Danio rerio: one gene and its partner. The protein of the gene in region 2 purifies or fractionates together with the protein of the main gene of each other region. This does not show direct contact. Links are inferred from orthologs where the notes say so. Each region holds a gene or a part of one and is shown on either strand. Other genes may lie near its edges.

Region 1 (3,500 bases), on a different chromosome or scaffold from region 2:
CCTTAACGTGGAGTTTAAAAATCCCAGAATGTCTTTCAAACAAACAAACAAACAAACAAACAAACAAAAGTGTTCTGGCCAATTTGGCCCACTGGCCTCCTAACCATGCCCGTGTAAAATAAACTAAAACAATATGTAATGTAAATATTACAAATATTAGATAGATTGTTCTTAATTTAATAAATTAAGTTTAATTTGTTTTTGTTTTTTTATTAATTTTGATTTTATAACAAATTTTGATCATTAAAATAATTAATGATAATTAAAACTAAATTTAGTTTTTATAAGTAGGAAATGTATAAAATCAAAAACAAAAATACAGATTCAAAAACGTAATTATACACACACACACACACACACACACATATATATATATATATATCAAAACTAACAAAATTACGATAGAAGCATACAACAGAAGAGTTATTAAAACCTAAACCAATTAAGTGTGAATAAATAAGTGTCAACAAACTAAATAAATAAATAAATACAATCATAATAAAGCACCTAATAAACAGCATTACAATTTACAGATAATACATGATGCTAAAACAACAATATTGCACACAATTTAGATCAAGTTCAGCTTGAAGCAAAGATCTTACTCTTGGTTTTTCTGATTGCCTGTTCAGGTACTTTTTTGCCATCAGTTTCTGCTTTTTTCAGCGTCCTCTTTTTATATTCCTCATCTGTCGGACAGACGACCACTGCTTTACGCTGAAACCCGGCAAACAGGCACATTTTCCTTTTCCGGGCTGAAGCTGAAACATTGGTCTAAACGAAAATACAACAATGAACTTAACGTCACACGTACAGGGTGCAGAGATTACTGTATAGTTTAATATGACACTTAGTTTATTCACCTGATCGAGAATGTAGTTGCGTTTTTTCCGTGCTGCGATCTCAATGAATTTACCCAGAAACAGAGGAGCACGCAGGGAAATCTCTAAGAGCTTTGTCACGTCTTTCATCTGTCGTTTCAGCGTGGAAATCTGAATCGAAACATCAAAAACACATCGGTAATGTAATTTTTGTAATAATACATTGCATGTGTATGTTTTCATATTCATACACACGTTTGAACCACTCAAAAAAATTACTGCTCAATTCACAACACAGACCTACACACACAAGCTTGTTCTTAAACTCCTTCTTCTGCTAGTGAATTTGGAGTCTTGTGAGTGCCTGTGTAAACTAGGTTAATAATTTGCATAATACACGCCCAAACCAACTACATATAAAGGCTTTTAAGCAAAGAGGCACTCATCCGGAAAAAGACAAATATGGCATCAAAAAAAAAAGACAAAGGAAAAGAACTACATATTCATTAGGCGTACCTGTCTAACTACTCGCTAACGCAAATTTCTAATTATCCAATAACATGGCAGCAACTCAATGCATTTAGGCATGTAGACATGGTCAGGACGATCTGCTGCAGTTCAAACCGAGCATCAGAATGGGGAAGAAAGGGGATTTAAGTGACTCTGAACAAGGCATGGTTGATGGTGACAGATGGGATGGTCTGAGTATTTCAGAAGCTGCTGATCTATTGGGATTTTCACACACAAACATCTCTAGGGTTTACAGAGAATGATCTGAAAAAGAGAAAATATCCAGCGAGCAGCAGTTCTGTGGGTGCAAATGCCATGTTGATGCCAGAGAAGAATGGCCAGACTGGTTTGAACCGATAGATAGGCAACTGTAACTGAAATAAGCACTTGTTATATCCGAGGTATGCAGAAGAGCATCTCTGAGCACACCATTAGTCCATTAGTACCAATTGAGCAACGTGTCAACGCCACAGCCTACACGAGTATTGTTGCTGACCATGTCCATCCCTTTATGACCAGTGTACCCATCTTCTGATGGCTACTTCCAGCAGGACAACGCACCACGTCATAAAACGCAAATCATCCCAGACTGGTTTCTTGAAAAAGACAACGAGTTCACTGTATTCAAATGGCCTCCACATTCACCAAATCTCAACCCAATAGAGCACCTTTGGGATGTGGTGGAACGGGAGATTTGCATCATGGATGTGCAGCCGACAAATCTGCAGCAGCTGCGTGATGCTATCTTGTCAATATGGACCACAATCTCATTGGAATTTTCCAGTACCTTGTTAAATCTAAGCCATGAAGGAATAAAGCAGTTCTGAAAGCAAAAGGGGATGCAATCCGATACTAGTAAGGTGTACCTAATAAAGTGGCCGGTGAAGGTATACTGTATTATCAATATTTAACATCTAGTTATTTTTTATCCACCCAGTAAATAATGTATCTAATTATATGTAGTTTTATACATGTTTATAAGGTTCAGGCGAACCTTTTAATGTACATCTACAATAAATTTAAGAAAAATGTTGATAAATCATGATGTAAAATTACCACACACACATTTCATGCAAAATGTGTGCGCACGCATGTTTAGTGAATGAGATGCATTGTCGTCTGTTAACACTCACCATCATCTTCTCTAGGATTGTGTCCGTCCCCAGAATGTTGTATTTTCCAGGATTGGCTTCTGTGTGCTTTGTGACCCACTCCGTTTTTCCAGATCCAGGCAGTCCGACCACCACAATGACCTGAGAGGATTTGCAGAGGATTTCAGTGTTTATGATTTTCACAGATTTCACTGATTTTATATATAAAACAACAACAACAAAACACTATTTCATACACATGTGGCTTATATAAAGGCTATTTCATCAGTCTAATAAAAAGAAACCATTCATTTTCCTTCGGCTAAGTTTCTTATTTATCAGTGGTCACTACAGCGGAATGAACCGCCAACAATTCCGGCATATGTTTTATGCAGCAGATGCCCTTCCAGCCGCAACCGGTTAAAGGGAAACACCCATACACTCTTGCATTCGCACACATTCTCATAAACTTCAGGCAGTTGAGTTCATCCAATTCACATATACCACACACCTTTGGACTTGTGATGGAAACCGAAGCACAGGCAAGAAACCCACGCCAACATGGGGAGAACATGCAAACTCCACACAGAAATGCCAACCGACTCAGCCAGGACTTTAACTAGCGATCTTCTTGAAGGGGGCCACAGTGCTAACCACTGAGCCACCAGAAAGAGAACATACAAAATACAAGTGTTTGTTTTATAGCACTTTATCAATTTATGCCTTCATATTGTAATTAAATTGTGTATTGCAAACAGGCTGTTAGATCAAAATGAGTTTTTTTTCATTTGAACTGAGCCATAAATCCACACTTCACCAGCATATACGTGAAGAAAAAATTATTAGCCCTCCTGTGAAACTTAAACTCTTTAAAATATATATATTATTTAATATAAATTATATATATCTAGGCAAAAGTCTTATGTCTTTTGCCTGCAATAAAAAAATATTGATAACTTAATTCCATAATATTAGCCCTCTTTTATGATTCACTATAAAAACAAGCCACTGTTATCCACTGACTTGCCTAGTTAACCCAATTAATCTAGTTAGGCCAGCTCTGCACAAGACTTTTGGC
Region 2 (4,229 bases):
GGGCGTCGTAGTTCCTTCAATGTCCAGAAGAAAGACTCTGGTGTTTTCTGGTATTGCAATCGCTGCCATTTTTTATCAATGGCAAACGATGTATATGTGTGGTAAAGTCTCGTGTTTTGTTCGATTCTGTCGGATGCGAGGCTCAGATTTTGACAAATCAATCAATAATAGCACGCAGGCTAGCGGCGAGCTAACACATGGAGCGGTTAGGGTTGCCAGGTTCTGCGCAGAAAAGTCTCCACCCTCTGTCATCATGTCAGCATAGATTTTAGGTAATTATGCGTTTTATTTGCAATACATTTGATTTTTAATCGTGAATATATGCATGTAAATTTTATATTTATATTTAACATAGTGGACTACAACTCAATAATTAACAGAAATTGATAATAATAATAATAATGATAATGATAATAATAATAGATTTTAGAAAACAATACACAATTACCATTTTAGCATCTATCTGCTGTTTCCAGTTATTAAATCTATCTGTTGTTTAGAATTACGACGTGTAGCCCGTATTAGATTTTATTTTTGTTTTCCATCTGGCAACCCTGCTGCTGGGATGGGTGAGGAAGTAAATAAGCTAAAAATAACTGTAAAATTGTTTACCTATCGCATAAAGTTTATTCATTTGTGTATTCTGAATATCAAAATTGTTTTGAAAAAACACAGTAGCACCTGCATAGTGTTCGGGCAGACGTTATTTTGTGTAATTTGCACAATTTTTAATTTTATCAATGTCTAATTGTACGTACAAGATATTTTAATATAAATAAAATAATTTATATTTGTAGCTATTATAAAACAAAATCTTCTGGAAGTGCATTAAAGTGGATTTAAAATCTTATTATGATTATTACACATTATAATACATCATTATACATATTTGTAAGCATTTGTATTAGTATTGTGGATGCCTGTGGTTTATCTTTTAAAAAATATATGTATTTATGTCGCTCCTTTAATATATTTATAATTTTCATGCTATTGTTATTTATGTTTTTTTTTTTGTACAAATATATACCTATGCTGTGTTTGCATAAAATATTAAATAAACTATACGGGTCTTGTTCATATGAGTACATTTTCATAGTTTCATTATGAATTATTTTCCTGTTTTGTTTCCAACTTTCATTTTTGCGTCGTCTATGGGGCAGGGCGACCAAACCAAGCCAGTTTGAACTACAAATCAGTGTATTTAATGCAATAGTTTAAAATAATATTGTAAGAAATGACATTTTTCACTATCAAACTAGAGCAAAGGAGGATGTGACAAGGAACACGATAATTTTATAAACTGTCTAATGTTGTCACTAGGTAATATAATTGAATGAAACGTAAATAAACACAAAAGTAAATAAACAAATAAATGTATTTGCATAAGCTCCGCCCACTGCCTCTCTTTCTCGTGCAGACGGATTTCGTCACTGATCTCCGTCCGTCCGCCATTTTAATCAACGCGGCACTTTATTCGTGTTGAAGTGTTTGACCTTTTAAAACCGGCGTAATATAATCTATAATATATATCTCGCGGAGGATCAAAATAACTACACATACTTCAAAATGCAGGCCGAAGAGCAAGGTGACTTTAGCACCGATGAGTTTCCCGAAGGCTCCAAAATAAACGCGAGTAAAAACCAGGAGGATGACGGGTGAGTCCCGGAGAGCGGCCTGCCTGCGACACCCCGCTAAGAGACACTAGTGCAGGCAGACGCCGGTCTGCTTCATCTTTAAACGACTAATTCAAATGGAATACGTTTTTAAAATGTCTACGTTATTAATATGCACAACATAAAGCTTAAAGACGCCTAGAATCTTGTTGTTCATTACGTACCCGTTTGCAGATTAGCATCTAACTTAATGGCTTGGCGTCCAGTTTGTGCGTAATATTATTAACGTTTATAACGCTTTCAAAATTGCTATAACATATAACATACGCATCGGAAGAATAGTTATGTCATAAAACATGCATTTATTTTGAAATGAATGTAATATAAGTTATTTAATACCTTTGGAAATTTGTGGGAGGGAAAAGGGTAACGTTTAACGTTACTGTGTTTTTATCATGCTAATTATTAATTTAAATTTTCAAATTCATCATTAATACCTACTAAATTGTACTTCTTTGGGATATCAGATTACGTACGAATCGTAATTAAGCTATAAATTCACGATTTACTCGAATATTATACATTTATGAAATATAATAACATTTATTCTGAGAATTACTAATACTAAACGCAATGGAATTTAATCAAATAGCTGTGACTGAGTTTATAATTGAAGGGCCAGACAGAATCTGCAGGCCTTTTTGCTATTTCTTGAGATAATTTGTAAAAAAAAAATTTGCAGATTTAATATGCATAATGGTTTTGGTAGTATCATAACTAAAAAAAACTTAATATATTAAATTAAAAGTAGTACCTTTTTAACTTTTATTTAATGTTTACAATGCAAATCCAATCAGATCCACTTATTTGGTAAACAAAGCAAGCCTCTTGTTTAATATATCTACTAAAAGACTAAAATATATTATTTCATAAACTGTATTGTAAATAAATCAATTGCACCTTTTTAAATTAGTTAATAATATCTCTGAAATTCATTTATTATCCCTGAATTTAATTTAAAAACGGAATATATATAAATTTACACGTTTATACAAGTAAATAAATATACTTAATGATGGGCTTAAAAAATGAACGCGCAGATTTCGTGTGGGCCTACTCATAATTCTTCGAAAGTCCAAACTCGCATATTGATTTCATTCTAAACAACAAAACGATTCCATTCTGAGGTCCTTTCAAACACTATATCACATTTTACTTGCATTTAATATTTATTTTAATGAATAATAATAATATTATAAAACATTTTACACACTGTGATACTTGCATAACAATTACCAACATGGCTTTAGCGTTTTTTTAATGTATGAAAAGGGTAAATATATATTTTACAAAACTTTTAGTAACTAATATAACTGCATAGATTATTTTATGAAGTAATTCTAAATAATTGTACTTTGGGAAGCCTAAAACATCTGTCAGATTTAGTTCTTCTAGTAAATATATACATATTTTTTAATTCAAAGGTTTATAATTTGTATTTAAGTGAAAGTACTGAGCTTAAAAATAAAACCGGTTTATTATGTTACAGTAGATGGTAATGCATTGTTAATTCAGTGACGTGATTTGAATCTTGTTTGTTTTGGTGTAGGAAAATGTTCATTGGTGGACTCAGTTGGGACACCAGCAAGAAAGACCTCACTGATTACCTGTCCAGGTTTGGAGAGGTCCTCGACTGCACCATCAAAACAGACCCATTGACCGGCCGCTCCAGGGGCTTTGGATTCGTGCTCTTCAAAGATGCTGAGAGCGTGGACCGGGTATGCGAGCCCTTGTCAGTCATTGTGTATGATGCAAATATATGAACAAAAGTTTGCTCATAGCTGTTTCTTGATGGGTTGTTTTTAGGTGTTGGAGTTGACGGAGCACAAGCTGGATGGTAAATTAATTGATCCCAAGAGAGCCAAAGCCATCAAGGGCAAGGAACCCCCTAAGAAGGTTTTCGTTGGTGGTCTCAGTCCAGACATTACTGAGGAACAGCTCCGGGAATACTTCGGAGTTTATGGGGAAGTGAGTGACTTGAATTCAAATCTGTACGAGAGCTAATATTTCACATAAAAAAGGAAAGGAATGTATATTTTTTGGAAGTAGGGCCCACAAACTGGTACTTTTAATCCAATCTGTATTTTTTTTCTCTCAAAAGATTGAAAGCATCGAGCTTCCCACAGACACCAAGACGAATGAGCGACGGGGATTCTGCTTTGTGACATTCGCTTTAGAAGAGCCTGTTCAGAAACTGCTGGAGAACAGATACCATCAAATCGGATCAGGGAAGGTATGTTGATGACAAAAATATGATGCATCAAATCAGTTTAGTAAATAAAACAGGGCTCAACAATAAGGACTGCCCGGTGGCCCGGGGCCAGCGTGCGAGGCGCTCTGGACAGTAGACAGAATTGTTACTGGCCCGATTCGTAGTGCCTTGTCACAAAAGTTCAATTCGTCTGCGACTATTTGTCAATTGCATATGAATACAGTCTTAGAATCGAGAAACAGTTTGTGCTTGTAAGCCTTTAAATGCTGCCTTCTCAGTGATGTCGTAAACACCATGTTGCTTTTCGGTTCCTTTTATCTGATTGGATGTTGTGAGCATGTCGT

What was found. The genes of interacting proteins can lie anywhere in the genome.
Region 1: the proteins of hnrnpdl (region 2) and hnrnpua purify together in Homo sapiens (affinity purification with mass spectrometry; 3 studies listed by BioGRID and IntAct, with this or other methods). This does not show direct contact. The link is inferred for Danio rerio from reciprocal best matches to the Homo sapiens genes HNRNPDL and HNRNPU.

The regions. Positions count from the first base shown.
Region 1 is NC_133192.1:12,679,454-12,682,953, forward strand, and holds part of hnrnpua (heterogeneous nuclear ribonucleoprotein U), read right to left. Parts: intron 2,585-3,500; coding exon 2,465-2,584; intron 993-2,464; coding exon 864-992; intron 775-863; coding exon 606-774; intron 1-605. UniProt on the Homo sapiens protein: DNA- and RNA-binding protein involved in several cellular processes such as nuclear chromatin organization, telomere-length regulation, transcription, mRNA alternative splicing and stability, Xist-mediated transcriptional silencing and mitotic cell progression.
Region 2 is NC_133185.1:5,496,226-5,500,454, reverse strand, and holds the start of hnrnpdl (heterogeneous nuclear ribonucleoprotein D-like), read left to right. Parts: upstream 1-1,429; 5' UTR 1,430-1,566; coding exon 1,567-1,655; intron 1,656-3,222; coding exon 3,223-3,391; intron 3,392-3,479; coding exon 3,480-3,641; intron 3,642-3,774; coding exon 3,775-3,906; intron 3,907-4,229. Other genes in the region: enoph1 (enolase-phosphatase E1), read right to left, coding at 1-69. UniProt on the Homo sapiens protein: Acts as a transcriptional regulator. Promotes transcription repression. Promotes transcription activation in differentiated myotubes. Binds to double- and single-stranded DNA sequences. Binds to the transcription suppressor CATR sequence of the COX5B promoter.